4 linked regions of the Saccharomyces cerevisiae S288C genome follow. Changing the gene in region 4 together with the main gene of any one other region gives a genetic interaction. Each region holds a gene or a part of one and is shown on either strand. Other genes may lie near its edges. The genes, in order: PTC7, HAT1, UGA2 and HOS3.

Region 1 (8,192 bases), on a different chromosome or scaffold from region 4:
TGAGCTTCAAAGGATAACCAGAGTTAAAGGTAATCTTCGGGTATTTACCGAGCTTTATTTAGTTGGAGTTTTTAGAACATTGGATGATATTGAGTCGAAAGATGCTATTCCAAACTTCCTACAGAAGAAAACTGGGCGAAAGGATCCGTTGTTATTCAGTATTCTCAGAGAGATTCTTAATTATAAGTTCAAATTGGGCTTTACTACCACTATTGCGACCGCATTTATTAAGAAATTTGCACCTTTGTTTCGCGACGATGATAATTCTTGGGATGATTTAATATATGACTCGAAGTTAAAAGGTGCGTTACAGTCTCTGTTTAAGAATTTTATAGACGCCACTTTTGCGAGGGCCACAGAACTGCATAAGAAGGTCAATAAACTGCAAAGAGAACATCAGAAATGCCAAATAAGAACGGGAAAATTGAGAGATGAGTACGTAGAGGAGTACGACAAGTTACTTCCAATATTCATTAGGTTCAAGACATCTGCAATTACTTTGGGAGAATTTTTTAAGTTAGAAATTCCGGAGCTTGAAGGTGCCTCTAATGATGATCTGAAAGAAACAGCTTCTCCAATGATCACGAATCAGATATTGCCACCCAACCAACGATTATGGGAAAATGAAGATACAAGGAAATTTTATGAAATCTTACCAGATATCTCAAAAACAGTAGAAGAATCACAATCTTCTAAAACAGAAAAAGATTCAAACGTTAACTCAAAAAATATCAATCTATTCTTTACGGATTTGGAAATGGCAGATTGTAAAGATATAATCGATGACCTTTCAAATAGATATTGGTCATCATATTTGGACAACAAAGCCACAAGAAATCGAATATTGAAATTTTTCATGGAAACACAAGATTGGAGCAAACTGCCAGTGTATTCCAGATTTATTGCAACAAATAGCAAATATATGCCGGAAATTGTTTCTGAGTTTATTAACTACCTAGACAATGGCTTCAGGAGTCAATTACATTCTAATAAGATTAACGTTAAAAACATCATCTTCTTCAGTGAAATGATTAAATTTCAATTAATACCATCGTTTATGATTTTTCATAAGATTAGAACATTAATCATGTATATGCAAGTTCCAAATAACGTAGAAATTTTGACGGTTTTGTTGGAGCACTCAGGGAAATTTCTGCTAAATAAGCCAGAATATAAGGAATTAATGGAAAAAATGGTCCAACTAATCAAGGATAAAAAAAATGATAGGCAATTGAACATGAACATGAAAAGCGCCTTAGAAAACATAATTACTTTACTTTATCCCCCTTCTGTAAAATCATTAAATGTTACGGTAAAAACAATAACGCCTGAACAACAGTTTTATCGCATATTAATTAGAAGTGAACTAAGTAGCCTAGACTTCAAACACATTGTCAAGTTGGTTCGGAAAGCTCACTGGGACGATGTAGCTATTCAGAAAGTGCTGTTTTCTCTGTTTTCAAAACCACATAAGATTAGCTATCAAAATATTCCCTTATTAACAAAAGTTCTAGGCGGTCTATACAGTTACCGCCGCGATTTCGTCATCAGATGTATAGACCAAGTACTGGAAAACATTGAGCGAGGCTTAGAAATTAACGATTATGGACAAAACATGCATAGAATATCAAATGTCAGATACTTAACTGAAATATTCAACTTTGAAATGATAAAATCCGATGTTTTGTTAGATACTATCTACCACATTATTCGGTTTGGTCATATCAACAATCAACCCAATCCATTTTATTTAAACTACTCAGATCCACCGGATAATTATTTCAGGATTCAACTAGTCACTACAATTCTGTTAAATATCAACAGGACCCCTGCAGCTTTTACTAAGAAATGCAAACTTTTGCTGAGGTTTTTCGAGTATTATACTTTTATTAAAGAACAACCTTTACCCAAGGAAACAGAATTCAGAGTTTCAAGCACATTTAAAAAATATGAGAATATTTTCGGAAACACTAAATTTGAAAGGTCAGAAAATTTGGTAGAAAGTGCCTCAAGGTTGGAAAGTTTACTGAAATCATTAAACGCAATAAAAAGTAAAGACGACAGAGTGAAGGGATCTTCTGCAAGCATTCACAACGGTAAGGAGAGTGCTGTTCCTATCGAGTCAATCACCGAAGATGATGAGGATGAAGATGATGAAAACGACGATGGTGTCGATTTACTAGGAGAAGATGAAGACGCGGAGATAAGTACACCGAACACAGAGTCAGCGCCAGGAAAACATCAGGCAAAGCAAGACGAAAGTGAAGATGAAGACGATGAGGACGATGACGAGGATGATGACGATGACGATGACGATGATGATGATGATGGAGAAGAAGGCGATGAGGATGATGATGAAGATGATGATGATGAGGATGATGATGATGAAGAAGAAGAAGACAGCGACTCTGATTTGGAGTATGGTGGTGATCTTGACGCAGACAGAGATATTGAAATGAAACGAATGTATGAAGAGTACGAGAGAAAACTAAAGGATGAGGAAGAAAGGAAAGCGGAAGAAGAATTGGAAAGGCAATTTCAGAAAATGATGCAAGAATCCATAGACGCAAGGAAAAGCGAAAAGGTTGTTGCCAGTAAAATTCCAGTAATTTCGAAGCCAGTCAGCGTTCAAAAACCTTTATTATTAAAAAAGAGTGAAGAACCTTCTTCAAGCAAGGAGACCTACGAAGAGTTATCCAAGCCAAAGAAGATTGCATTTACGTTCTTGACTAAAAGCGGTAAGAAGACACAATCAAGAATTTTACAATTACCAACGGATGTGAAATTTGTCTCTGATGTCCTTGAAGAAGAAGAGAAACTAAAAACCGAGCGAAACAAGATTAAAAAGATTGTTTTAAAACGTTCTTTCGACTGAGATTCTTTTGCGAATATAGTTCTTTAAATTTTTACTATATATGCCCACTTATGTTTGGCTCTATTAAATGGCTACGTGTTTATATAGTACCGTTTATGACGCTGTATTTTTATTTACACTGCTTTCCAGGAGATTAAAGAGCGGAGTGTTAGTCAACTCTCACGACAACAACAGTTATATCGTCTTCTTTACCACCGCTGTAGTTTTTGCCAGTTAGCTTAGAAATCTCTTGCGCAAAAACACTGGGGTAATTGGGGTCCTTGCTTAAACTGACAACATTGTCCACAAACTTCTGGGATAATAGCTGTAACTCATCGTTTGTTCTCGCAGCGTTATCCTTCAGAAAAAGCTCAATATCATCTGTGGCAATATTATCGGTTACACCATCGGTAGCCAATATAATAATATCCTTTTTTTTCAATTGGAAGCTATATTCATCAGCGTCTCTGGGGGTGTTTAAAATATACTTGCTACCCCTTCTTTCGGCCTCTTTCAACATTTCTTCTGGAATGATTGACAATTGGTAAGGAGCATTAAATCCAACAGTTTGAAACTTTGTCTGGAATACAAGTTTAGAATCTCTGAAGACTCCACACCAAGAATCACCCAAGTTGGCAACTTCCAATTTTCCATTAGATGGGAAGTGAGCCACAATGGCTGTTGTCCCACCAACCTTCACTACTTTCTCATCCCTAATTTTTGCGTATGCAGCACCAATAATTTTCTTTGGCGTTAAAAGCGTTTCTTTGGATGAATTTTCTGCTAAAGCAGTGCTTATTTCGTCCATTTTTTTACACAATTCTCTTGAGATGGCGCTGGAGTCATACCCATGCTCAGCCCATCCTCCAACACCGTCTGCGACACCGGCAAAAATATCGTGAACGTTGTTTGATGTAACAAAATAGTTGTCTTCTCCTGTAGGTGATCTAATAGAATCCTTTAGTTTTTGGTATATCAGATCGTCTCTGTCTTTTGGTTGGAAAGCTACCGCGGTTTTATAGGTGAACGGGCCTGATTGGCTACCTGAACTATACGCATCACCATGACTGTTGTTCGATTGATACCCACTCTTGGCACTTGAGTAAAAAGTCCTCTTGGAAAAGCTGATGATTTGACTGCAGGATCCTATGATATGAGAAAAGTTAGTCTCTGAGTCGATTAGCATTTGTCCCGCAAATTTAGCAATTAGCACACCAATGAATAAAACAATAAACATACCATAAAGGGGACCTCTCGAGACCCTCAAAGTTCTAAATCCAACGTTTGCAAACATTTTTGGTGGCTTTGTCGTTTGTTTTCTGGACCGCTTTTATTGCATGTGTCTTTTACATTTGTTTACTGTCAAAATGAAGCTCGCGTGTAAATTTGTAGATTGATTACAGAAAGATGTAGCTGAAACCAGCCAAGAAAGAACAATTAGCACATCTCATTTTATAGAGCCTCAGTTTCTGTCGTACGACTGTTGCAAAATATGTAGGTGGAAGTGGATTTTTAAATTACGTTTAAAACGTAGATTGCGAGTCACTGAATGGCAGCAAGCTTATTAAAATGATTAATTTCTAATTTTATTGTGATATAGGCAACTTTGGATAGAGGAAACAATGAGCCGTAAGAGTGCTAGTTACTGTTTTCGCACCGCCGCAATCGTATAGGTGCGTTAATGGCAGTTTAAAAGCTAATACTGCTTACATGAATGTCAACGGCGCCAGCATGGTCAAATAACCGGCAATATGTCCTGCTTCAAAGTTAAATAGTTTGAAGTATTTAGTGCAAAAGTGCCATCTTCTTTCTGGGGAAAGTTTTAAAGATAACATCGTTATTGGTGTAATTTTGAACAACTGCATGATCATGAGTTTACTTGAGAAAGATGGCTTTATTTACTGAAAATCTGCTACTGAATAGAAAGCGCTCTTAAAATCAAAAGGAGAAGAGAACCAAGAAAAAAATTACGCAGATTGTGCCAATTCCAAGATGAGCTGATGCACGATATTTGCAGAAATTTATAAAATGGAAAGATCTGCAAAATATCACGAAGACATCAAAAAATACGATCTTTACACCCAAGGTATTACAGTCTTTGGGTAATGAAATTATCAGATTTGATGGAGGGCTTTTGTGATAATCCTTCTAATTCATAACAAGAACTTTATACGGTACACATGTGGAGAAACAATTTCCTTACTTAGATTTCTTAAAATGAAAGATTTAAAACACATAGAGGAAGCTCAATGGCCGACGCCAACTCAGGATGACAACGGTTTGTTTGTGAATTTGGATGTTTCAAACTCGGATCAAAAAATTCACAACATAATTGAACGGTTGGTCAGGAGAACGAAGAAGTTTTTACAAAGGCTCAAGTATAAGGAATGTCCTGCGCAACGTAATATATACCAGAAGGTCAATCCCAGCCTTGACGTAGTAATATGCCCTTAAACCTCCAGAAAATTCCCCCAATATAAAGTATTGCCGGGAAACAGCATATATACTTACAACAAATAGAATCGTTGGCACCGACATTGAAGTGGACTATGTTCCCCTATGAATTGTTCATAGTAATATTGTAGAAGACCCTATTGTTCTTGTAATTCGGGTAATATATTTGAAATTGTACAATATGCCTATTTAGGGATATCATTAACTGACTGCAGCGGTAATGATCAACTAATGCTCAACAAAGAGTCAAAAATACGGCAACAAACTGGTAGTAACGGTAGGACATTTTCAAATTTTCAATGTCTGACGATTTGAGAAGAAAAATTGCTTTATCCCAGTTTGAGAGAGCCAAGAATGTTCTAGATGCGACATTCCAAGAAGCATACGAGGATGATGAAAACGATGGTGATGCATTAGGTTCCCTGCCATCATTTAATGGACAATCAAATAGGAACAGAAAATATACGGGCAAAACCGGTAGTACTACTGATAGAATTTCAAGTAAGGAAAAGAGTAGTTTACCCACTTGGAGTGATTTTTTTGATAATAAGGAGTTGGTAAGTCTTCCTGATAGAGATCTGGACGTAAATACATACTATACATTACCTACTTCATTGTTATCAAATACCACTTCAATTCCCATCTTTATTTTCCACCATGGGGCGGGCTCCTCAGGTTTATCATTTGCAAACTTGGCCAAGGAATTAAATACTAAACTAGAAGGAAGATGCGGATGCTTTGCATTTGATGCTAGGGGGCATGCAGAAACAAAGTTTAAGAAGGCTGATGCGCCTATATGCTTTGACAGGGACTCTTTTATCAAAGATTTTGTAAGCCTGCTAAATTATTGGTTTAAGTCTAAAATAAGCCAAGAGCCACTTCAGAAGGTATCTGTTATACTAATTGGTCATTCCCTTGGTGGAAGTATATGTACTTTTGCGTACCCTAAATTATCAACAGAACTACAAAAGAAAATTCTTGGTATTACTATGTTAGATATTGTAGAAGAGGCTGCCATTATGGCCTTAAATAAAGTTGAACATTTTTTGCAGAATACACCCAATGTATTTGAATCAATTAATGACGCTGTCGATTGGCACGTTCAACACGCGTTATCGAGATTGAGGTCAAGCGCCGAAATTGCTATACCAGCTTTATTTGCTCCGCTCAAGTCAGGGAAAGTTGTCAGGATAACAAACCTTAAGACCTTTAGCCCTTTCTGGGACACATGGTTTACCGATCTGTCGCACTCCTTTGTTGGCTTACCTGTTAGTAAATTATTAATATTGGCGGGAAACGAAAATCTCGATAAAGAATTAATTGTGGGGCAAATGCAAGGTAAATATCAGTTGGTAGTTTTCCAAGATTCCGGGCATTTCATTCAAGAAGATTCGCCTATAAAAACAGCAATCACTTTAATTGATTTCTGGAAGCGGAACGATTCTAGGAATGTAGTAATCAAGACTAATTGGGGTCAACACAAAACCGTGCAAAATACATAAGGGTTAAATATCACTTTTATATCTTTATTTATGATAGAATAAATAACAGAATATATGAACTCGTGGAAAAGTCTTATTTTGCTGTGAGCACTTCTTCTGTGCTAATCAATAGACATAATGTCAAGCGTTGAGCCTTTATGTGCTTCACACTGCTCGACAACTTCATCAATTTTTCTTGAAGCCCATGGAAATCTTGGGTTGATTAAGAAAGGACGTAAGTCAAATCTGTTGTCTTCTGGTGAATACTGTTCAGCATGATAACTAGGAGTTAAAACAGTTTGCTTGTGTCTGTTGATGGCATAGAAGAAGAAAAATCTTTTCACCTTTTCAGATATTTGACGAGGTGTTAACTTTGGGGACCATTGATGAAGAAGTTTTAAGAACATAGAATAAGGACCACATTTTTCAACCTTTCTTAGGTAACCAAACACGCCCAATTCTTCATACGTCATCCCCATATCTATCTCATCCGATTGAACGTAATCTTTAGTCATAGGTTCTAATTCTGCAGTTGGTGTAGCGTTTAAAAAGTCATTCAAGATTGGCATGTTATATTGTTTTGATGCGTAGGCAATGAATCTTTTCAAGTCAGTTTTTGAAATACCCCCAATAGGGTTGATATCTGCGGAGGAGCAGTCATATTTTGTTAGATACCCACGTAAGCACTCATCAACATTTGCGCTACCAAGTACTAACAATCCACCCGAGTTTGGGATACCACGAACCCACGGCAACAGTTGCGCAAAAAGATAAGAAAGAACCATTCTTAGACGCGCCTGGATGTTTTGTAAAGCCAAGTTCTCGATTTGAGATCCCCCAAATATTTTGTATATTGGTTTTTTGCCAGTGGCTACTTCGAATAAGGACACCACACTGGATACCAATGAGTCCATCTTTAAATCCACGTGGTAAGATCCAATTGCATTGGAAAGGTCCTTTGCTCTGTTTCTTGTCTCCTTGGATGAATTTTCCGTACCCATGAAACAGGAGTGAAATATTTTTGAGGCTAGATCCTGTGGACTGTCTGGAATCCAATCATCGCCGCTACGTGTTATCTTACGAACGTCTTTGATAACTTGCTCATTTCCATTTTGAGCAGCGTCGGTCACTAAACGGCACATAGAGTGGACAATCATTGCAGTTGCACAAGAGTCAATGCCCCCAGATAAGGGAAGGAAAAACCCTGTTCCGTTACAACGTCTTAAATAATCCCACATCCAGCAAGCAGGTCCCAGTGCAATTTCTTCCTCAGGAGAGTGATAGAAAGGCTCGCGGACTTTTGTTGGACACACTGTAGGATCAAATCTGGAGGTCATTAAAGCCAATTCTACAGGAATATCAATACGCTTGAACTTTATTTCTGCCAAGGAGGCTTGTAGGCC
Region 2 (7,880 bases), 230 kb from region 4:
AAAAATAAGAATATATTTTACTAACGAGATTGGAATTGCTGAATAATTTTTTGATAGGTGTGTTAACCGACCATATTTTCCCCTATATGTTTTCATGATGAATATGTATAAATTAGCTATGATTAGACATGCTGTATGGAATTTTATTTATATTTCAATATTGTAATAGCAAACGAAGCATTCTTGTAAATTGGAACTGCGTTACAACTTGTTAACATTGCTTGCTTTGGTAAGTGCTTCCAGACCCTCCAAGTTCAAACTCTTGGGCCTTTCAATTGGTAAACCTAGAATGCGATCCCAAACAAGTTGTGTCAAGGGTCCCATGGCCCTTGAACACCCAAAAATGACGGTAAAGAATAATAATTCCCTGATTCCATAATGATAAAACAAAATCCCCGATGCAGAGTCAACATTGGGAAATGGATTCTTACTCTTTCCGTGTTCCAACAAAACCTTAGGCGCTATTTCTGCCAATTTTTGCATCAACAAAACGTTCTTGTCGTTCTCAAATTCAATAGGCCTCTTTTGCGCAAATTCAAGCATTGCTGTAAATCGAGGATCCGGTTTACGCAAAACTGCGTGCCCATAACCGGGGATCACACGGTTTGAATTCAAAATTTTCCAAAGATAATCTTTGATTTCTTGTTCTCGTGCAATGCTGGAAATATTAGAGTTCATCTCTATGAGAAACCTTACTACTTCTTGTGCTGCTAACCCATGCAAAGGACCCGCTAATCCCATTATTCCAGATGAATAGCTGAGATACGGGTCACTCAACGCACTTCCAACCAAGTGGGTGGTGTGAGCAGAAACATTACCACCTTCATGGTCTACATGTATACCGGTATATAACCGCATCAAGTTTATGAAGTCCAGGGATTGCTGGGAAGTAAGGTTGCATGTATTAGAAGAGTTCGTTCCATTTGTCATGCCGAGCAGGGAACATATGTTTGTACACCAATCCACCTCCTCACTATATTGACCTAATGGGTGTCCCTCATTTGTAATGTTCGAATAAATTCTCCCAGTCAGCAGCGGGAGTGAAGCAATTAAATTTAGCGAATCTTCAAGAGTATCTTTCCAAAATTCCATCTTTCCTATGAGGCCCTTTTGGTAGTTTGTAGCAAAGAGGGATCCTTTGTTCATTGATGCTAAACCAATTGCAAGTTGGGTCATAGGGTGCATATCTTTGGGTAAACTTGACAAAACTTTCTCTGTATAATGTGGCAATTTCCTTCCACGAATAGCCAATTCTTTCCTGAAAGAAGCAGCTTGCTGGAAAGTTGGCACACCACCTGTCATCAACAGCCATAACATTGATTCTGGCAGGAAATTATCGCCATCAATACCTGTATTAGGTAATCTATTTTGACATTCTTCAATCGTTAAACCTTGAAATTTAATGCCATGTTCGGGATCTAATGATGTTCCTTGCCAAAACATTGACTGATTACCTCTCATCCCACCTAGAACTGATGAAATGGTAATCGGTCCGACAAACGTGCTGCCATAACAGGCCTTCAATTTCTTCACAGCATCTCTTTTCTTAGGTATCACGTTTTCTAATGCTTCCTTGAGAGTCAATGCAGAAGACTTTATAATTGCAGACGAATTGAAGGACCTTCTGCATATATGTGCGCCCGGTAGAAGCCTTTGTACCATTTTGTATTCAATTATTTAGCGGCGTCTATGTATAAATTCTTGATCAAATACGATCTTTTTTTTATGATTAGAATGCTTGACAAGCCAGTCATCTTAAATACATAGGGATGAAAAAGCTTTATCTCCTATTTAAGGTCATCCATTTTCAGTGTGGAGTAAGTCATCAAAACTGCTATTTAGCCGCTTTGCCGATTTCGCTTTAGAACCGCTACCATGGTGTGTCACTTCCCCAATTTTATTTTTCTGTTCAAATTGTTTGCTCATAGAAATATTTATGTTTTTTTGTCTTTCAACTGAATAATATTTCTATTTTCGGAAATCTTAACCAACAAAAAACAATTTTTTATTTTTGTTTAATTTAAAGAAAAAAATTATTTTTATAATTAAAAAAAATTAAAAATAAAAAATATATCATGTGATCTATTTGTGATCACTACCATGATAAGAAATTTTATATCAGTCAAGATAATCTCTTTAATATAACCTGTAATTTAGAATTACGACAACATAACGGCTTCAACCTTTGCATAAGCTTATATTAACTATAGAGACACTTTGATGATCATCTCGATGATGTATTTATAAAAGAATTTCTTATTTCAGGCTTGTTAAACAAATAAATATGTTATTATATATTTAATAAACAGTTAACCTTGAGATTTATTTATCGACTCTATAATACGCCTATAATCATCTTTGACTAAAATAAATGAATTTTGTAAAGCTTCTCTTGCCTTTTCTGGATCAGTTTGATCTAGGGCATCATAATTTTTAATGTACAACCTATTCTTTACCTTTAATTCAAATGATGGAGAATTGTTTAAAAGAAGAAGCATTTCCACAAGACGATTAAACTGTCTTTCTTCCAGTTTTAAAGATTTTCGGCTTGACTCCAAAAACTCATCAGAAAGGTCGGAGTGCTTCTGAAAGACAGCATCATAACCAAGTTTTCGCAGTCTTTGAATATCATTCCTGTCGCGAAGATCGTCAAATGCTTCGTTTGGATCCTCTACAGTAATTTCAGTAATACTTTTGTCTTCTAGCCAAGATTGGATTATAGCCTCATAAAGACAGGATCCGTGGCCTTTATTTTGATAAGGTGGAAAGATCAGAAATTGAGATATTTTGGCTCTGAATTTTTTATCTATATCCTCATCGAAAGATTTTGCTCCAAGGTAGTGCCAATACTTGTAAGTAGTGACGAAACCAATCAATTCTTTTGTTTTCTTGTTCAACAACCAATAGATTTGCCAACTCGGGTCAGTCTCATCTATATAGTTAGCGGCTTCGATAAAAAGTAATGAAAAGATTTGAACACGACGATGCATTCTCCTGGCAAAATCGTCAACCAAACTCGATTTATATACAACAAATTCTTCCCCATTCAACGAATACTCTGATACTTTTTCAAAAACATCAGATAAATTATGTGTTTTTCGTTCTTCTGCAAAGCAATCTACCCATTTAGCTTCATCCCTAACAATTACATCATCCTTTGGTAGAAATGAGAGTAATTTTTTTTCCACGTCTACAATATTGTCGTCTCCTAATTTTGCTGAATACTTGACGTTAACATACGGCTTGAATGTTACTGAATCAAATGCTAGGTGGATGATGAGATCCTTATAGCCGTAGATCTTTTCGGAGTCACCGTAAATTGGATACGTGAATAATGGTGAAAACTGAACAGCGTTTTCTCCAACTATAGAAACTCTTAAGGCTTCGTTGGCGCTTGAAGTCCACGTTTCAGGCTTGAAATCATTGGCAGACATATTCTTGATTCTCACTATAGTTATAGCTTAAGCATAATTTTGCTGAAAACAATTCCAGAAAGATCTATTCCTAACTTCAAGTAGAAATACATAGAAATCTAATAAATTCGTTATTCGAAGACAATATATTTATCACTTATAACGGTGTGCTATTTCAAGAACTTAATCCATCAATTCTGGGATATATTATAACCTTTTGAGGCGATGCAGTAGACCAAAGACTTTACCACGACTTGAAAATGCTTGGCGTAACAGCCAACTTCGAAACTCACTAACATGAAACAGTTTGGACTGGCAGCCTTTGACGAGTTGAAGGATGGAAAGTACAATGACGTAAACAAAACCATACTTGAAAAGCAATCTGTCGAACTAAGGGACCAATTAATGGTATTCCAAGAACGACTGGTAGAATTTGCCAAGAAACACAATAGCGAGCTTCAAGCTTCACCTGAATTCCGCTCAAAATTCATGCATATGTGCTCATCTATTGGGATTGATCCCCTATCTTTATTTGATCGAGATAAGCACTTATTTACAGTGAATGATTTTTATTATGAAGTATGTCTTAAAGTTATAGAAATTTGTCGGCAAACTAAAGATATGAATGGAGGCGTCATTTCTTTTCAAGAGTTGGAGAAGGTGCATTTTCGTAAGCTGAATGTTGGACTCGATGATTTGGAAAAATCTATCGACATGCTAAAGAGCCTAGAGTGTTTTGAGATATTTCAAATTCGCGGCAAAAAGTTTTTACGAAGTGTTCCAAATGAGTTGACATCAGATCAAACAAAGATTTTGGAAATATGCTCAATTCTGGGCTACTCAAGTATCTCTTTATTAAAGGCAAACTTGGGATGGGAGGCTGTTAGGAGTAAATCTGCTCTTGATGAAATGGTCGCTAACGGTTTATTGTGGATTGATTATCAAGGTGGTGCAGAGGCGTTGTATTGGGATCCCTCTTGGATTACGAGGCAACTGTGAGATAGTTGACTTGAACAGGAATGGTGGATGAGCGTTAAGTATTTATCGATGTTGTATTTTATTGAGCACAGTTCTTACCGGTGATCTCTCGTTGTTGTAAACATTCGATATCATATGCATCATAAAAGTTTACATTTAGTCTTTATTTGCATCAACGCAAACCAGGGAAGTACAATAAAATAAGCATTCTATGAACTCGGAGAGCTGACGAAAAAATTTTATATTTTATATGTTGCGGATGAATTATTAATGCCATTATATAAAAATAGGTTATCAATAGGAACGTAATGGTGTGTGATAAGCTTTATAGCCTCTTGAACCACTGCACCTCCAAAAAAGGCCATTACGGAATAGTTATCGTCGACTCGTAAACCAATAAACTCATCTTTATCCTCTGCAGTTACTGCCGGTTGCTCCCAGAATTGGACCATAACTAATGCATCTAAAAGGGCATTCGAGGTGCTAAAAATACCTAACAAGTCACTTTTTGGCGGCAATATTTTCCTGACCTCCCCGTAATGAGAACAAAATGTCTCCAAGACATCCTGTGAAACTATTTTTTTACTGCGAGCCAAACTTTCCTCCACACGAGACTTGTCAAGCTTTGCTTTTACTTCATACAGTTTCTTGAGTCTGATATAATTTTCCGTTGTTGACTCCATATCTGGGAGAGTGCCCGTTAAAGGTTGAAAGCTGAGCTCCCCATTCTCTTTAGCAATATTTTTCAAAGTCAATAATAGTGTGAGAATCTCGTAGTTATAAGTATCATGCCAATCGTTCCCATAATCTGATATTTCCAAATTTCGGAGCAGATCTTCCAGTTCTTTACAACAATCATTTTGAGAGCAGGCCAAGTAAGCATAGCGTTTAGCTTCCACATAATTGGGTTCGTAGATAACATCATTCCCTAAAGGAAGGCAAATTTGGTCTAAAACTTTCTTCATCTGATCAATCGTTATCCTCCCATTATTACCATCCCTTTCAAGTTTTGCAATACACTTCATGAGCAAAACAGTATATGGAATACCAGAAAACGTGGCTGTATCCATTTTACTTAGGTCAAATGTATCTACGTAATTTATTAGTTCAGGCCAAGGGTTCTGTAACCGTAAATCATACTTCTTACTATCTGGGTGTGCTTGCAAAACAAAATGTGTTTCTGAGAGTACCAGATATATATATCCATAAAATCCAGAGACGAAAGTGTTTAGAACAGGCGGAAACTTTGTTCCTCTCTGCCGCCTAATCTCATTTAAATCGAGCATCGCAGTTTGCTCACCAATACAAGTCAAGATCACCACCGAGAAGCGGGTCCAATCATACTGAGGTTGCTGTAACGTCTTTCTAAGGTCATTTTCCTCATATTCTAGCTGTTTAGAAGCCAATGGCTCAAGATCTTTTTTAAGCTCTGCTAAAAACAGAGAACCCGATTGAACTGCACACTCTACTTTGAGCCAAGTAAGAGATGATATTCCGGCAAGCACCAGATTCTTAAAAACTTCCTGCAGCAAAGGTGTAGCAGGTCCTACCACGCACACACGGGACCGGTTCAAACTATCTTGGCCCAATGCTCCCCATAGTCTCAGCTGTCTATCATATCTTTCCATATTTTCATCTACGGCTGTCTAGTTGGCCTAAGAAAGAAAGAGAGGCGACTCATTTTTTTGACGTCAATCGTCTGACTTGTCCTTCTATTTCATTGCTAGGCTAGAAAGCTTAGCTCTTACAACCCCGCTCGTTGCAGCCGAGTGAAAAGGGGATTGCGAAAGGCGTTAGAGGGGATAAAAAGGGGCCCTTTAAAAAAAAGACGGAAAAACCGGGAAGATGCAACGGCTAAATCGCAATATATAAACAGGTGAGATAGAAAAGAAAAAAATCAGTTAACCTCTTTCCTCAATTCCAATGCTTGACCGTAAATTCTCTTTATTTGGTATACGAAAGATTAAACTTTCAAAGCTCCAACACAAGAATGCACAGAACTTACTCTTTAAGAAATCAAAGAGCTCCAACGGCTGCTGAGCTACAAGCTCCTCCACCACCACCATCCTCAACGAAGTCCAAGTTCTTCGGAAAGGCCTCTATTGCGTCTAGTTTTAGAAAAAATGCGGCTGGTAACTTTGGGCCAGAGTTGGCTCGTAAATTATCTCAATTGGTTAAGACTGAAAAAGGTGTCCTTAGAGCTATGGAAGTTGTTGCCAGCGAACGCCGTGAAGCTGCAAAGCAACTGTCTCTATGGGGTGCTGACAATGATGATGATGTTTCCGACGTAACCGACAAATTAGGCGTCTTAATATATGAGTTGGGTGAACTACAGGACCAGTTCATCGATAAATATGATCAATACAGAGTCACATTAAAATCAATTAGGAACATTGAAGCCTCTGTTCAACCTTCGAGAGATCGTAAGGAAAAGATCACAGATGAAATTGCCCATTTGAAATATAAAGATCCTCAATCAACAAAAATCCCAGTTTTAGAGCAAGAACTAGTTCGTGCCGAAGCTGAATCTTTGGTTGCGGAGGCTCAATTATCGAATATCACACGTGAAAAATTAAAGGCTGCTTATAGTTATATGTTTGATTCATTAAGAGAGCTTTCTGAAAAATTTGCCCTGATTGCTGGATACGGAAAGGCCTTATTGGAGCTGCTAGATGACTCTCCTGTCACTCCAGGTGAAGCTAGACCAGCGTACGATGGCTATGAAGCTTCTCGCCAAATTATTATGGATGCTGAATCGGCCTTGGAATCTTGGACCCTAGACATGGCTGCAGTCAAACCAACTCTTTCATTTCATCAGACCGTTGATGACGTCTATGAAGACGAAGATGGTGAAGAAGAAGAAGAACCTGAAATCCAAAATGGAGATATCCCCGGTCAAGTAGTCGAAGAAGAGGAAGTTGAATGGACTACTGAAGTTCCTGTAGATGATGAAGCCCATGAGGCCGATCATCATGTTAGTCAAAACGGTCATACCTCCGGTTCTGAAAACATCTGAGTTTTTTCTAATAATTAATATATTCGAACCTTTCTATATTGTGCTTGTTTTTCACCAGCTCGTGTCTACCTATTATTAATTTCATCTGAATTTGGTTCAAGTATTGTTCGGCCAATATTCCGGTATTGTAATCACCTTTATAATTAATTGAACAAATTTTATAAGACCTAATAATTAACCTTTCTCTTGTTCTCCTTTGCCGTAAGAGATTCAACTTTTCGAAGTCTAATTAAATGAATATGATCTATGAAGTATATATGTACAATAAAAATGCCTATATTAATAAAATTCCTGTCCAAATGCCAGGGCACTTATGCCTCCCTCATCAAACCTCCCCAACTATTCTCCTCTTTACTAGCTCTTTTTTGAAAGCTACATCATTGTCTTTGATATACGCCATTCTTTTTTCCAAAGCAGCCTTTGTGGCTATTGCTTTAACCCGATTTCGATATTCTCTTTTTTTCTGGGAAATG
Region 3 (7,866 bases), on a different chromosome or scaffold from region 4:
TTGGAAGTTATGTTCTTGATAAAAAAAACACTGTCCCATGATAGTAGCTTATTCCAAAAATACTTGTTCCAATAACTGTTGATTTCAGAGGGAGAAGAACATAATTCGTTTAATAAAAGTGATGTTGATGTATCAAACTGCCTAATTGGAGTCAAAAAAACCAGTAAATACTGTATTGAACGGAATAATACAAAATAAAGTGTCAACCCCACAATCATATTTTAATTTAGTCTTATTCCGCCTCCTCTCTCGAAGCCTCTCTTTTATGTCTTTTTTCGATGATGAGGCTTACTTTTTTTTTCAACTAAGCCTTGAAAAAAAAAGTTTGATTTAAAAGGGATTTTCTATTTTAAGTATTTAAATGACCGACAGGAAGCTCATGCAGAAAAGGCACCTGTAATAGCTTATTGATCATTCCAATAAATAGGAAAGTATAACTCGAATTAAGAATAAGGAATGGGACTTATTTCATACGAAAATGAGGCGATAAACGAGGTGAAAAAGGCAGATAACCATCACGTTAGCAAATTTGTGACTAGTTACTATGGGCCATCATCGTCGTCATGGCAGTCAGGAATATGGATTTTGTTTGTGCTGTTTGTTGCCGCAGTAATCCTTATAATACTGTTCACTTTTGTAGCGAACAGAAGGAGACGAAGGATGGGGCGTGCTCCCATTAGAGGTACGGCATGGTTGACACCGCCTTCATACAGACAGTCTCAGCAACAATATACTGGGACCGTTCAGCAACGGACAGATGATTATGTTCCTGAGTATACAGAAACAGCGAACGAACATGATCTTGGATACTATGACCAGCGGGGCGAGTTTCACCCCAACGATAAGGCTGCATACGTGGCCCCCCCGCCATTGGTACAAGAATGTTCATCAGAATCTGTTAATTCTTTAGAAAGACCTCCCGCTGCTGTAGTTCACCAAGCTAACTCTTTAGATACGGATTACGGTTTAACAAGGCCTAGCAATGGGCGCGTTCCAGCTGTAAGTGATACGGTGGAGCAATTGGAAAGGCTTCCGGGCGGGACTACAACGCAGGAAATTAACCCACCGGAGAGGGCAAAGGTAAATGCAAGGTCATGAACTGAATCTTTTTTTCCGGCTGTCCTCTTACAGTTGAGTTACAATATTTTGCCAGAAATATTTACATTTTTTTACCCAATCTCTATAATAATTATTTTAATTCCTAATCCGCTTCAGGCCCGCGGTCGTTGAAGTGCTATAGTTTATATTCAGTACATTGTCTTTAATCTCTCAGTATTATTTTATCAATAGTAAATACTTCAAGTCCATCGCACGGCGTGGTGGTGATAAAGGGAAAATGCGCGCGGGATTAGCAAAGGCGGCCAATGGATTAAGGGTGACAAGATAGCACCACATCACATCACATCACCATCAGTAATGGAGAGGAAATAGGGTATAAATACTCGTCAGAGATCAATAGATATTATTTCGCAACGTCCTTTATTGTTCTGTTCTTATTTGATCAATTAAGCTAGAAAACCAGCTACATTAAAAGCAAATTTTACAAACTACTATTTCAACATGACTTTGAGTAAGTATTCTAAACCAACTCTAAACGACCCTAATTTATTCAGAGAATCTGGTTATATTGACGGAAAATGGGTTAAGGGCACTGACGAAGTTTTTGAGGTGGTAGACCCTGCTTCCGGCGAAATCATAGCAAGAGTTCCCGAACAACCAGTCTCCGTGGTTGAGGAAGCGATTGATGTTGCCTATGAAACTTTCAAGACGTACAAGAATACAACACCAAGAGAGAGGGCAAAGTGGCTCAGAAACATGTATAACTTAATGCTTGAAAATTTGGATGATCTGGCAACCATCATTACTTTAGAAAATGGTAAAGCTCTAGGGGAAGCTAAAGGAGAAATCAAATACGCGGCTTCGTATTTTGAGTGGTACGCCGAGGAAGCACCCCGTTTATATGGTGCTACTATTCAACCCTTGAACCCTCACAACAGAGTATTCACAATTAGGCAACCTGTTGGTGTATGCGGTATAATTTGTCCATGGAATTTTCCGAGCGCCATGATCACGAGAAAGGCCGCCGCTGCTTTAGCTGTGGGCTGCACAGTAGTCATCAAGCCAGACTCTCAAACGCCGCTATCTGCTTTAGCAATGGCATATTTGGCTGAAAAGGCAGGCTTTCCCAAGGGTTCGTTTAATGTTATTCTTTCACATGCCAACACACCAAAGCTTGGTAAAACATTATGTGAATCACCAAAAGTCAAGAAAGTTACTTTTACTGGTTCTACAAACGTCGGTAAAATCTTGATGAAACAATCTTCTTCTACTTTGAAGAAACTGTCTTTTGAGCTGGGTGGTAACGCCCCTTTCATAGTCTTTGAGGATGCCGATTTGGATCAAGCCTTGGAACAAGCCATGGCTTGTAAATTTAGGGGTTTGGGTCAAACATGTGTGTGCGCAAATAGACTTTACGTTCACTCATCCATAATTGATAAATTTGCGAAATTACTCGCGGAGAGGGTCAAAAAATTCGTAATTGGCCATGGTTTGGACCCAAAAACTACACATGGTTGTGTCATTAACTCCAGCGCTATTGAAAAAGTTGAAAGACATAAACAGGATGCCATTGATAAGGGAGCAAAAGTTGTGCTTGAAGGTGGACGTTTAACTGAGTTAGGTCCTAACTTTTATGCTCCAGTAATTTTGTCACACGTTCCCTCAACAGCTATTGTTTCCAAGGAGGAGACTTTTGGTCCATTATGTCCAATCTTTTCTTTTGATACTATGGAAGAAGTTGTCGGATATGCTAATGATACTGAGTTTGGTTTAGCAGCATATGTCTTTTCTAAAAATGTCAACACTTTATACACTGTGTCTGAAGCTTTGGAAACTGGTATGGTTTCATGTAATACAGGTGTTTTTTCGGATTGTTCTATACCATTTGGTGGTGTTAAAGAGTCAGGATTTGGAAGAGAAGGTTCGCTATATGGTATTGAAGATTACACTGTTTTGAAGACCATCACAATTGGGAATTTGCCAAACAGCATTTAAAGCAATAGTAATCGTGGACGATACTTAGAATTGAATATGATTCTTTGTAATGATTGTATATATCTATTGCATGTATAAATACTCTACTCCTCGTATATAGAAAGTTAAGTAAATTTTTTGAAAGAAAAGAGTTCATATATTTACGGAGTTTTGAAGTTTTTCACAAGCGGAATAAGTGATACCATTCATAAAATATCATATCTATCTATCTATCTATTTTTGTGAGATATATGGTACGAAAATAAATGCCTTTCCTTTTAAGCCTTTCTGTAAGCTTTTATGTATACAACGTTTCTTTATCTTTATTTCGGACCTTGTTTCATGTACTTTTCCTTATAAATCCAATCTGAACCTAATAGATTTGCACCTTTTTTATCGGCTATCCTAAACCATGCAGCAGCTCTGGCGAGATCCCTTTTCTTTACGTTTGAAGTTTTGGACCAAATTGTCCCGCTTAAGCACATTGAGTCTACATGGCCTAATAGAGCAGCTTTTTCCAAAAATTTCAAACCTTTTCGCTCGTCGGGATGATCCATCCCAAGACCCTTTAAATATGCCATACCACATTCGTACAAGGCAGGTGCTGTTGGTTCAGGCGCTATATCAGGGATATCGTCCATTGAAGCAAAATTTAACGGATTTATATCTAAATCAAGAACCTCAGCAGCAAAGGATTTGATATCAGTGGCAGCCATTAAATATCCTAATGATAATTTCAAGTTCTTGTCCACTCCGCAGCCATGTCGCAGGGCTAGTCCATATAACAGAAACGCAGTTTTGTTTCCGCACGCGCAGGCTTTTTTCAGTCGTTGTGCAGATTCTTCAAGTTTGCCTTGATGACGCATAGTAATTGCCTGTCCGATGTGTGAAGATTCATCATTATCATAAGGTTCTGGGTGAAATTTAAGCTTCCCGCACTTGCTTGTTGCGTTCGATCCTTCTTTTTTATGACTGAAGGAATCCATGCATTGCGTCGAATTATTGGGCAACATACCATCTAAAGAAAGTGTTCTTCTTCTAACTTTCGGGTGGTAGGGCTTATTTGATTGTTCTGTTAGTGCACTTAGTTCACCTATTTTTGAATCTTTTTCCGTTGTATGGAAATCCGAGAAAGTTCTCAAATGAGTCCTATTTGGACGTGCTTTACTGTTCTTTTTTTTATCCGTGGATGACTGAGGTGTTGATGCTGTTTTAAAATGGAAAACTGGGTTTGGAGGAAAAATATACCTAGCTAAATGTGGACTGGAATTATTAATGGTACTTGAAGTAGATGGAAGTTGAATATTCTCCCCAGAGAAGTCCAATGAATTGGTGGCAGACCGGATAGGGCTTGATCCTTCAGACTCAAGGTCTTTCTTATTTTTTGCTCTTGTCCTAGGAGATTTAAAAAGTTTTTTTAGCGAATTTAGTGACGTTTTTTTTTTATGAGCTTTATATGGTGGCGTTGGAGGTAATGAAATATCATTTGTCATGGTATTTGTTTTCGTTATCGTCGAGGTAGAGGAATTAGACCGTTTAGGAGATGGTTTGATGGGTGTTGTATCACTCTTAGTTAACTTGAGTTTGGAGAATGAGGATGATTCACTTTCAAAAGAAGACTGAGTTTTCGGCTTTGATAGTTGTCCAACTTCAGAAAAGGAGGTGTTGGTGCTTGTTGAACTTCCGTTCCGATAAAGACAATTACTCTTTTGCGTGGTTGTGAACTCATTGGGGCAACTCTGCTTCTCGGATATTCTGTCAGTTTTTGTAGATGTATTAATATTATTACTAGTAGTTCTGTTATTCTTACTATTAGCATTATTGTCAACGCTAGTATTATTGTCTGATATCAGCGTAGGATAAAGATGGTGCAGTCTAGTATTTTCAATCCTATATTTCTCGAAGTTGAAAGGATTAGGGCTATTTGTGCTTCTATTGCCATTTTCAAGGTTTGGGTACTTATAATCTTTCTCATTTCTATTCATTTGGGGTTTCATGCCACTAAAAGTCTCAGAGTCATAATCTTCTTCGACGATATAAGAGTATCTCGACTTCACGGGCAAATGCCTTTCCACTTTACCGGAAGAGTATTTGCCTCTCAAAGTGGAATCCTTTTCTTTTAAATTGTCTATGATAAGAGAACGATCTCTAGCTTGTATATATGTTGGAGAGGGATTAGTTCTATACCTTAATGAAGGGAATTCCGACGCAGGCATACATAATGTTGGACCACTTGTTTGTGACAGTTGCGAATTTCTCGACGCGTTTTCTTCTTCTAATAAAGCTTCTTGCAGAATCAGTTCATCTTCCAAGCTGAGGTCTAATTTGTCAAGAAGTCTTTCCGTGGTTTGAATAGATTCGAATGAAATGCTACTTTTATTTGAATGAGCATAGCTAAATTGTGAATCCATTGATGACTCGAAGCTATTATTGGGTGGTGGGCTTTGTGAAACCTCTGAAGAGTTAGCTTTTCTTTCTTGATCGTCGCTTCCTATTCGATCAGCCCAAGAAGTGTTTTTTAAATTTTGATTCATTACTTTTCGTGTGACGTAAAAGTCCGTTTGTTTTTCTAGATTTTCTGTTTTTTCTCGAGGCTCCTACAAGTTCCACCTATATTTAGCATTGAGGAACAGAATGTGCTATCGCAAAGAGCAATGGCAACAGAAAAAAAGAGTTGCTAAAGAAGAACTATTTTTGAATGTCCGTGGTAATACAATGGAAGACTACTAGAACACGATGGCAGATAAGGTGATTTGATAATCAAATTCAACGACGGTTGCACCGTTGTTCTTTCTGCCGCTCTTCGTCCGGAGCCTTCTGTGATAATTGTTTTAACGCGCAGAAACACACGCAGGCTGCGTAAAGGAATGGTGGGGCTCGAAGAAGTGACAGTGGGTGTCCACGGAATGTTCTGAGCGCAGGGATCCGGTGTTGCCATCGCACACGATATGAGACGCGTTCATTTTTTCCAGCAGTCACCTAAAAGTTCAAGAAACGCTATGTTGTAATGCAGCTGTATTGTACACTGGCTGGTATTGCCGTTCTGATCTATGACTTACTTGTTAGAGGTAATAGCTGTCTTAGATCGGCTTGCTTCTTCTGACTTCCTTCTTTTTTTTTTTTTTTTCGAAGTGAGGCATGCTGCAGTTTTGTGCAGCTTCTCTTGCATCACTTCCTGTATTATTTACGTTGTTTACATTATCAGGTATTTTGTATTATTTTTTGCGCAACAGCAAGCAAACGCAATAGCGATAAATGCCATAATATAATCAAAATTTAGCAAGGATACATAGCAGCAAACCCGAACCTTTAGGCCTCTCATAGATGAAGAAAATTTGTACAATTCTTTTGGTTCTTTGGCTCTTCAAATATGAATTTATTAAGAGGAAATCCTGAAGCATCAGAACATCGCAAACTTTTTATTCGCAAGAGGATTTATCCTCTGATTAGTTATATATGAATATGTGTTCCTTCTGCATGATTTTGATATCAATAGTATGCATTTTTTTTCGATTCGTCGTAGAAACATAGCTACTCTCATGACCAAATGACTCTTTTTGGCTTTGACAGTGGAACAGCCAAGTTTTTATGTAGAAATATATTATCTGTTAACTGGAAATGATGTCTTAGGCCCATAAAATGTGCTAGAACGTATGGCTAATCCTTTTGCTCTGTATTCAATTGAGTATTTTGCTTAATTTCTATTTGATAATTGAACTTCTTACGTGTATAAATGGTTGCATATTTCTTTAGTAAGTACTATTTTCAAATATGAGTGAAGGATATTGTGGCTCAAGTAATTCCTCTTTCTTTTTTCATCCGTATGGTAAGCAAAGGGTCACAAAGTAACCGATAGTGTGTAGACCTTAGATCTTCCTTCAAAGATTTCAAGTCTGCGATAAATAAACATGAGAATACTTGCAACAACAACTTTTATAAACAATGAAGTTCATTATGAACAGTATTTATTTCACTGCTAAACTTTACGTAAACTTATGTGGAACATCTTTGTCGACAGATGGACGATAAGTAAAATTGTGTTATTATAATTCAAATTTTCATGGTAAGAACATCGGCTTTCTACTCCTCTGTGTACGAAGATCTTGTACGTAATGATGGCCCATACTTATAAAGTATAAACGGGATAATAGCTAGACCTAAAGTTAGGAACCCCACTAAGGACGAACCCCATGCCACAGGATAGTTCTTAGTAGCTAAATTGTCATACATTGCTCTACCAAACAACGGAAAAGCACAGGCAAACGAAGCCCGACAAAAACCATTGCCTGCAAAAACGGATGCAACATACTTTGGGTAGCATGTAGCCAAATATGCAAAAGTTGCTTGGAAAATGTTAAAGACAGCTAAAACAAAAAAAACTTCCGAGATAACTGGCAAAATCCAATGCACTCGAGCAGTCCAACCAAATAAGAACAAAGACAGAGGCAGGCACCAGCAGACACACATTGCCACGATTAAAAAAGCTTCCGGGGTGAATGTGCCGTTTCTAAAACGTGGTACAATAATCCTCATGTTTAAAATACCGAATAAGCCATAAGCAAGTACGCACCCTACGCAAAACCCCATATAGGCCAAGCCAACTTCAACTAAGCTGAAGTGGTATATACCTACAAATACAATAGGGAATGCTTCAAAGAATAAGTAGAAACAACCATAAGCAACAGCGATATAGAGATCAAAAGCCAAAATTGCAGGCTCTTTGATAATCATTTTGAGAGGCCTATACAAAGTATTGATCAAAAAAGTTCTTGCATCAACTTCTCTATCGAGTTTATCCTGTTCAGTATAGTACCTGTCATCACCAGTTTCTTT
Region 4 (9,070 bases):
GTTCCCAGTTTGCCTTCCAGCACGTCTGAAAAAATCACCACCCGTAACCTTATCTTCCTGTTTTGGGGTACTTCTTTCGAATGATGGTTTTCCTCTACTTCTCAAGTGCGGTGGGACATAAGATGATTTGCCGCCACCACCACCATTCTCTTTGTTGTTGATGCTTAAATTAGATACCTTCTGTGGCAAGTCTGCCATTTTTTCTTGTAATACTTTCACTCAAAGGGGTTTTTCTTAAAATATCCTTTAACTGACACTACCGATATCTTTTATAATCATGAATAATCCTTGTTATAAAATAAAGGCATTACTTCAGAGATGACCTTAAGTAACCTTCCCTTAAAATTGTTAAAGAACTCGCGGGGTAATATTTACGTTGACAGTGATATTTGTTTTGAGAAATCAAAGAATGAAGAACTTAGATGTAGAGTTAAAGGAGCAATACGAATAGGTGCCGTGATGAAGAAAAAAAATCATACAGACATTTGCTACAACCCTTGGTGAGACTGTTTCGATCATTTTTCTTTTTCTTTTTCTTTATTTTAGAAAAAATTGAACGAAATGACATTGGCAGAGTTGCTTGGACGGTCGAGAATAGCTCAAGTAGCTAACAATCATAAACCATTGACATACACTGGCAAAAAATTTCATCCAACACATCAAATCATCGAAACTAAGCCATCGACACTATACAGACAAGAATGGGGGTTGAAATCCGCTATTCCTTCGAAAATTAAATCTCGATATTTGGTGTACAACGATTTGGATACGTTGGAAAGAATTACCACATTCGAACCTAGAGGCGGTACGCAATGGAATAGGCTAAGATTTCAAGAAATGGGAGTACCAATTGTGTCTAATATAGGCAGACAAAATCCATTTTTCAAGTACATATCTCGTCCTGAGGATGAGTCTCATGCTAAATTGTCCTTATTCAAAGAAATGAAAGGAGATACAGATATTTCGCCTGCTGCTATGAAGAAGCGTTTGAAGAAGATAACAGCACTAATTAGATCGTTTCAAGATGAATTTAAAGAGTGGCTGGTGGAAAATCATCCGGATGAATTGAAATTGAATTCTAATAAGCTGGAAGACTATGTAGTGAAGTTTCTAAACAAAAAGTTGGAAACAAAAACGAATAAAAAATTTAACACTGAAATCATTGGTACAGGTGGATTATCATACAGCTTGCCAGGAAAGCTAAAAAACTCACCAAATGGTGTCATTCAAAGGACTGTAGTACCCGGTAGAATCTTGAACGTTGTTAAGGAGAACAACGACAATAAATGGCTGGCAGCTATTGGTGGGTTTGTGGCCGATGTGGTATTTTTCCAATCACCACCTAGTTCCTTTAACTCCATGGGAGATTTCATCAGAATGAAAACGTTCTTGTTCGAGATCTTGGAGGCATCTATGGAGAAAAATGGTTCTGTTTCGATGCACGCTAGATTACTCGAACCACAAAATGACAAGACCAGAGAATTTTTCAATAAGAGACCAATTTATAAACCATTGACCTCTAGAAGGGCACGTCGACCATCAGTGGGAAACATTCAAGAGGCCAATAACCTTTTGAATATAATCAAGGGAAATTGAGAAGAGAAAAAAAAAATGTGAACAATCAATGTATATTCAGAGTTCTGTAAATAAATAAAGAAAATAAAGTTTACATATTACTAAGGATTTTTGTCGCCTATTTTTACTATTTTTCAGGTGAAATGAAACGTTTTATATCACATTTTGCTATGATAACAAAGTTATTATGATTTTTATGTAGCCTATATTATTGACGCGTTGTTATAGCATTCTATGAATTTGCCTGTCATTTTCCACTTCAGAAAGGTCATCTAATTGCTCCCACCAGTTGAATAAGTAATTCTCGCAAATAATCTTAAACCAAGGCGTAAACTTGTAACTTGGGTCAGCAAACATAGTTTTCAAATCATTTGGTGAAACCCATTTGAAGTCTCTAACTTCATTGACGTTTGGGTTGACAGTCAAGTTTTCTTTAGCGTTGATCTTATAAAATAGGATGTAATCAATTTCATGTTCACCCCATGGTTCATTGCTTGGTGCCATGTAATGGATTCTGTTTAAAAAGTGAAACTTACCCCTTGTCTTAGTTTCATCTTCTGGAATACCTAATTCATGATCTAGTTTTCTCACCGCCGCAGTAATAGCGCCCTTAATCTTATCGTCTAGCTTACCCTTCAAACCTAATTCGTCATCAATACATAGTGGATGAGAGCAGCATGTGTTAGTCCAAAGATCAGGGAAAGTTATTTTTTCAGTGGCTCTTTGTTGTAAAAGTAATTCACCTTGTTCATTGAAAATAAAGACGGAGAATGCACGATGTAGTAAACCCTTTTCAATATTTTCCATTAAATGACAAACTTTCTTGGTACCGGCACCAATAGCATTATCGTCCCAATCCAAAACAATACAATTTTCATTCATTAACTTAATTTGCTCCTCATCATGACCAGAAAAACATGTTTCTCCGCTTTCGTCATTTGACGTCTCACTAGATCGGGTATTAGGTCTTTGTTGTAATGGAATAATTTCAGGAAACTCTTCCAAAATGTCTTCAGGTGTTTGGTTTTGCACTAATTTGGCGTAACTAGATACTGCACCATGGGGCATACTATTGTTGTCGGCAGTCATTGAGGTGTAATGAATTTTTGGCTTATTTTTACTCTTCCTGTATTCCAAATACGAATACTCTAATATTGAATTAAGTGGGATATACGCCTTCTTGTCACTAGAAAACTGTTTCCTGTTAAATAGATAAAAATGAATAAATAAATATAAATGGAGTTAAGACCGAAAAAGAAAGGCAACCCCCATCGACAAGAAAAGAGTTATGAATAATCATGTTTCTTAATAACAATTAAAGGGAAAAGAATCGGCTGGGCATCGTCATTGCGAAACTGTTGACTGGAAAAATTTCAATCACAATTAAGTTTTGTCCATTTCGTTCCAGCAAGAACGGAAACTTTTACCGATAGCAGCGGAAAAAAAGAAAAAAGAAAAAAAAAAGAAATTAATATAGGCAAAATAGCCGCATGAAGCCCTTAATAACCTATACTATTCTGTGACTGTTATTTATTTACCCTCGTAATATTAAAAATGTCCTATACAATTTCTGTAATAAAACCTAATTTTTTTAGGACCCTTGAGTGTTACCCTGCTCATGTTTTTATTTTTGTTTTAGAGAAATGTAAACAACAGTTTGGGAAAGTTTCAAGAATTGTAAACAACTAATCAAGGGATAATACTATTTTACTCTTTCCTTTAAACATGAAGAACTATTTTTTGTTTACGTTTTTTTCTGAATTGAACAATAAGATCTTGTTAATTTTTTTATCGCTTGATCTATTATCAGATCTTCTCTTTTGAAAAACTAGTCCTTTTCCAAATTACAAACTTTCTTTTCGTGTGGAGTTGATCAGTTCAGTTTCTCCAATACTTCTTAAGTCACTGAAAATATAACGAAAAAAAGGGCTCTGGAAGTAAACAGAGAAATTCGACGATATAATATGTCTTCCAAGCATTCAGATCCATTGGAGAGATTTTATAAGCAATTTCAAGCATTTGTTCAAAATAACCCTAATGTCATATCGGCAGCTCGAGCTGCCGCACAAATACCGGAATCTGCAAAAGCTGTTGTAGTACTATCCCCATATTCTTTACAGCATGTGTTCCCGAGAGAATGGGTAACAAAATCGTATAGGAAAACTATAGTCGAACGACCAGAAAGATTATTAGCAAGCTCGATGGGTATATCAGCTGCGATTACAATGTATCCATCCCTTTTCACCTTGAAATCCTCGCATCAAAGGAAAGGTTCATTGATGGCACCTCATGTGCTTAAAGTTCATGGCAGTAGCTGGCCGGCTGAGTTAATTGAACTTTGCCAAATGGCAGATGCTAAATTGCTAAAAGGCGAAATCGAAGTCCCAGATACTTGGAACTCAGGTGATATATACTTGAGCTCAAAGACAATTAAAGCTCTACAGGGAACAATTGGGGCCATTGAAACTGGTGTTGACTCAATTTTCAAAGGACCATCTGCAGAACATATTAGTAACAGAGCTTTTGTTGCTATACGGCCTCCTGGTCATCATTGCCACTATGGTACACCATCCGGCTTTTGTCTGTTAAACAATGCACATGTAGCCATAGAATATGCGTATGATACTTACAACGTCACGCATGTTGTCGTGCTTGATTTCGATCTACACCACGGTGATGGGACCCAAGACATTTGCTGGAAACGTGCGGGTTTCAAACCTGAGGAGGAACCTGAAGATTCATCTTATGATGATTTTGGTAAGAAATTTGCCGAATTTCCCAAAGTCGGTTATTTTTCTATGCATGATATAAATTCATTTCCAACAGAGTCGGGATTTGCCACAAAGGAGAACATTAAAAATGCATCTACCTGTATCATGAACTCTCATGACCTAAACATCTGGAATATTCACTTATCCAAATGGACAACCGAAGAAGAATTCAATGTATTATACAGGACAAAATATAGAACTTTATTTGCTAAAGCAGATGAATTTTTCAGGAGCGCAAAACTAGAAATGAATCAACAAGGGAGACCATTCAAAGGTTTGGTTGTCATAAGCGCAGGTTTCGATGCATCAGAATTTGAGCAAACTTCAATGCAAAGGCATAGTGTCAACGTTCCTACAAGTTTTTATACAACGTTCACCAAAGATGCATTGAAATTAGCACAAATGCACTGTCATGGCAAAGTTTTGTCTCTAATGGAGGGTGGATATTCTGATAAAGCTATATGTTCTGGTGTTTTCGCACATTTGATCGGTTTACAAAACCAAGATTGGGTTAAAGAATGGGGGTCTGAACAAGTCGTTAAAGAGATTGTTCGTGGTTGCAAACCGGCTTGGAAACCCTATAAGACAAAAAGAGCAAAAGATGTCATAAGAATATGGGCAGAAGAAGTTATCAGGCTGGGACGAGCAATGATACCGGAATTCGATGATATCATTTTTAAAGACGCAGTTAACAGCGCACCTTCTAATTCTCTACTAAAGGCTACTGTCGAACCAGCATCCACGTCGACAATTGCTCAAAGAATAATCAGATCTCATAGAAGCAACGCTTCCCCAGAAAAAGAACTTCATGAAAACAAGCCGAGAAGCACGGAAAAACAGGAACAAAGGGAAATTAGAAGCGATACCAAGGTCAAGCAGCTCTCGTCAAATAATAGAGCAGCTGAAACCCAAATTCCGTTTTTGCAACAAGAATTTTCCAGTGAGGATGAAGATGAAGAATACGTTTACGATGAAGAATTGAACAAAACTTTCAATCGCACGGTGGAGGATATTACCATTGATGATATTTCTAGACATTTGGAGACCTTAGAAATTGAAAAAAAAGGTGATGAAGATTCAGACCATGAGCTAAAAGAAAAAAATTGGAAAAACTCGCACCAACGCCGTCTACAAGGTAATGGAATGTATAAAATTCCCTCCAATACGAAACCGCATCGCATAAGACAGCCTCAAAACGCAAATACACCAACTTATGACGATAGTGATATATCAATGATTTCTCATGTTTCAAGAAAACATACAACAAGAAGTGGTGGAAGATGGTGATACCAATGCATATATAATGTTGTCTTGAACCCACTAAAGAAGTGACGCATATATTACTTTTTTGTATTTAGTAACACAATTTTTCTATTTTTATATTTCCTTGTATAGTTAGTAATTTTAATTTTTTTCCTTCTTTATCTCAGCTCTTCGACCATTTGGTCAAGAAGTTAGTTTTTTTCTCTTATTTTATTTGACAATATACTAATTTTATTATATGGTATTGTAAATAACATTTGAGGAATAAAAAGACAGTCACTCTATAAGCTTTATCAGCCTGACATTTTTTTATTATTACAAATATATCGTTGAAAGAAAGAAGCCTCTATACATCTCGCCCTCTTTCTATCATTAAATCAATGGAGGTTTACTGGCAACGTTATATTTCTACAATTTTAGACCATCAAACCTGAGGAATATGTATATCTACTTTCTCCCTTTCCTCTTCTTTAACTGGTTCACCACCCTGAAATATACACGCAAAGTCAGTGATGAATGGTTGAAGCATACTAATTGGAATATTTAGAGTTGGGGAAAACACGATGCATAAATTTCTTAGATTCATCTTATTAAACTTACTATTCTCATTGATCCTTACCAGCAGTTCAAAAAGAGCATACATCAACGATAGGTTAGCGTGAGGAACTAGGCCAGATTCAATAAGTTCCTTAAACCCCAATGATATTTGAACAGGATTATTATGATTTTCATCAACTACTCTTTTAAACGACAAAAATTGTTCGTCACCAAATAATAAATGGGGCAACTTTCTCAAGTACAACTTTAGTAACCCACTTACAGTATTCACACCAATGTAAAGACTTGGAGATGCCTCATCATCTTTAGCTTCAATACTTTCATTGTACCGACATAAATCTACATCGTACTCTTTATCAAACCTTTCTTGTAAAGTTTTGATAACTGTACTGGACCCGCTTAGTCTAAATATGCCTTCTTCCTGGATACCACGGTTTTTGTAAAGATACTCTAAGCAACGATAAACTACACTCGGTAAATCGTAAACGTTTTGGTACTTATGCGAACTCAATCTTAAACACGTTTCTAGTGACGAGCCAAATATTGCAGTGGACACATGTGGACCCGTAGAAGAATTTGACGAAGAGGATACTTCCATTAATTTTTTGCTTGGTGACTTAATGATAGAGTCAGGAGATGTTGGAGAATCCGAATCATTTGAAATTGTAATACCTATATGGTTCATTGCACTCGCCGGGCCGGTTAATTTTTTAAAAGGGAATAAACTTCTCATTTTGGCTCTCCTACTATCCTTCTCCTCCTCTGCATTCCCGCTTGAACTTGCTAGGAAGTTAGAGTGAGAAGATGGGTTTGAGTCAATACCATCGCTATTAGCAATGTTATTGCTACTATTACTAATATTGTTATTATTATTATATTCTTGGGTCAAATCAGTGACATATGATGGAGTATCGGTTGCTGAGATAGTTGCGTTTCCAAATTTAGAATGGTGTGTTCCTGCGCTCAAGTGAGATGCAGAATCAGTATCGTTTGCATTCCTCGAGCTAGATAACGATAAACTTTGTGAAGGATCAATGTAATCACTAAACGCAGAAAGCCATAATTCACGTTCCTTCGACGTTTCAGTACAAATATAATACTTTGTTGAGGTTGACAGTCCGCTTTTCTTATGCTCAGTGATCAAAAACCCATTTCTCGTTCCAAATCTATCTTCAGGGAGATTGGGTATAAGTTCTATAGAAGATTGTCTCAATTTAATAGTTTCAGTCAACTGATTTTTGTCAAACAATTGTAAAACATCATCGCGCAAAATACCGTACCGAACTCTCCATGTACTATTACCTGTTAGAGTCTTTGGTCTTCTCAGCAAAAGTGATCCGTCTTTCACATTATCATCCATCATTGGAGGTGTCATTACTGTATCTGTACTAATAAATTGGGCGATTTTTAAACCAACATTTTTGGGAAATTCAGGGACACTGAATATGCTTGTATAATACTGATTCAATATGTTCTTTCGCGTATCCACTTTTGTAGGTGATAAAGTCTGAAATAATTGTCTATCAGGTAACGTGGGCAATGGTAAATCGGGAACATGTGATTTCATATATACATCTAATTCGCGAACTTTATGAATAGATTTTGAAAATTTAAACATCTCCTTACCGGATTTCCTGTCTATGATTGCAATTAAAATGGATAAATCATCTTCATTATCCCTGTACAATGTGCTCAGTACTTCAATCTGGATAGTGCCAAAATCCTCCGGTTGAACGAATAATGGAATATCCGACTTAAGACTTTGGGCCACAGACTTCACGGTGCTCACGCTACTTGCATGAGGTCTTCTAAGTGTCTTCAACGAACCTTGGGGTGTTGAGCTAAATGTATTCAAGGTATTGGTTGAATGGATGGATGCCGTTTCTCCAAGTTGTTTTTGTTTTGATGAACTTTCCACGGGAGGATTTGGAGGAAGAGAAGCATTTTGACTTGTTGTTGACAATTTTGTAGAAAGATTGGGGAGTGATGAAGTTAACACAGGTTTCTTTAAATTTTTTGCACTTTGAGCACCAAAATTATCATCCTTTTTATTCAAGATAACCGGAGAAGCCAAATGGCTTGATAAAGGAGTAGAGTTTTTTATATTTCCACTAGAAGTAGGTGAGAAAAAAGTTGGAGGCGCTGGAGGTGGGGGTAAAGATTCGTTAATCGTGGATTTTATGGACAGAGGATCTTTACTGTCCGTATTGACTAGATCCTCTTCGCCAAATGAGGAGTCAAGTAATTGGGTGAAGTCGTCAAGTTTTTCTTTAGATGCTGGAGAGAAACCCAAAGCCTTGTTTTCACCCTCCTTGACTTCCAAAAGGGATGATGGACTTTTGGCTGCTGAAGTAGGAGTTCCAGTAGTGTATGCAGAGGATGTTATAGAAGAATAAACGCGGTCATTTTTTTGTATCGCGTCATTAGTTAGTTGTTGACTTTTACTTTCAGTCAGCTCATCTAAATTATTAGAGGTACTGGCCTTTAATGGAGAATGCAAATGGTTGTTGATAACAGCCGTCATTCTGTTAGGATTTTGAGGGGAACGCAAACGTTCTTGCAATGGAGATTTCGAACCTTTATTAGGTGATTTTATGGTTATCCTAGACGTCGTATAGGTAACAGAGGCAGCTGGGCTAGCCAACTGTTCTGAATGTATTTTTGTAGGGCTTGAGACAGATCTATTGATAATTTTGGGAGATGAGAAGCTACTATTTGCTTCTATTTCATCGTTTAGTATCATGTTCTGTAAATGCTTCCTACTTATTGAAGTATTTGATGTAACACCTATTTGAGGTACTGTAGGCGTTACACTTGTTTCAAGTGCAACGTCTGAACCTTGTTGCAATGGAGGGGACAATGTCGGTATTGGCAAATTAAGACTCTTGATATGCGCTTTCCTT

Evidence for each region.
Region 1: of HOS3 (region 4) and PTC7, extra expression of one is lethal in a mutant of the other (dosage lethality), as found in Saccharomyces cerevisiae (one study listed by BioGRID).
Region 2: of HOS3 (region 4) and HAT1, extra expression of one rescues a mutant of the other (dosage rescue), as found in Saccharomyces cerevisiae (one study listed by BioGRID).
Region 3: of HOS3 (region 4) and UGA2, extra expression of one is lethal in a mutant of the other (dosage lethality), as found in Saccharomyces cerevisiae (one study listed by BioGRID).

What each region holds. Positions count from the first base shown.
Region 1 is NC_001140.6:247,057-255,248, reverse strand, and holds PTC7 (type 2C protein phosphatase PTC7), read right to left. Parts: upstream 4,149-8,192; coding exon 4,094-4,148; intron 4,001-4,093; coding exon 3,024-4,000; downstream 1-3,023. Other genes in the region: NMD2 (Nmd2p), read left to right, coding at 1-2,875; PPE1 (phosphoprotein phosphatase methylesterase 1), read left to right, coding at 5,608-6,810; QNS1 (glutamine-dependent NAD(+) synthetase), read right to left, coding at 6,912-8,192. UniProt on the Saccharomyces cerevisiae protein: Protein phosphatase which positively regulates biosynthesis of the ubiquinone, coenzyme Q. Dephosphorylates and activates the ubiquinone biosynthesis protein CAT5/COQ7. Also dephosphorylates CIT1 on 'Ser-462', which leads to its activation.
Region 2 is NC_001148.4:550,159-558,038, reverse strand, and holds HAT1 (histone acetyltransferase catalytic subunit HAT1), read right to left. Parts: upstream 3,435-7,880; coding exon 2,310-3,434; downstream 1-2,309. Other genes in the region: citrate (Si)-synthase CIT3, read right to left, coding at 202-1,662; ESCRT-II subunit protein SNF8, read left to right, coding at 3,711-4,412; ULA1 (Ula1p), read right to left, coding at 4,631-6,019; lipid-binding protein LSP1, read left to right, coding at 6,382-7,407; AEP3 (Aep3p), read right to left, coding at 7,733-7,880. UniProt on the Saccharomyces cerevisiae protein: Catalytic component of the histone acetylase B (HAT-B) complex. Acetylates 'Lys-12' of free histone H4 in the cytoplasm. The complex is also found in the nucleus, however it is not certain that it modifies histone H4 when packaged in chromatin.
Region 3 is NC_001134.8:245,450-253,315, forward strand, and holds UGA2 (succinate-semialdehyde dehydrogenase (NAD(P)(+))), read left to right. Parts: upstream 1-1,560; coding exon 1,561-3,054; downstream 3,055-7,866. Other genes in the region: GPI-anchor transamidase GPI18, read right to left, coding at 1-218; RCR1 (Rcr1p), read left to right, coding at 457-1,098; DSF2 (Dsf2p), read right to left, coding at 3,357-5,567; FLR1 (Flr1p), read right to left, coding at 7,114-7,866. UniProt on the Saccharomyces cerevisiae protein: Catalyzes the oxidation of succinate semialdehyde to succinate. Can utilize both NAD(+) or NADP(+) as a coenzyme, but has a 2.5-fold lower activity with NADP(+) than with NAD(+).
Region 4 is NC_001148.4:326,067-335,136, forward strand, and holds HOS3 (histone deacetylase), read left to right. Parts: upstream 1-3,539; coding exon 3,540-5,633; downstream 5,634-9,070. Other genes in the region: putative DEAD-box ATP-dependent RNA helicase DBP1, read right to left, coding at 1-198; mitochondrial 37S ribosomal protein bS1m MRP51, read left to right, coding at 562-1,596; isopentenyl-diphosphate delta-isomerase IDI1, read right to left, coding at 1,798-2,664; GTPase-activating protein BEM3, read right to left, coding at 6,034-9,070. UniProt on the Saccharomyces cerevisiae protein: Responsible for the deacetylation of lysine residues on the N-terminal part of the core histones (H2A, H2B, H3 and H4).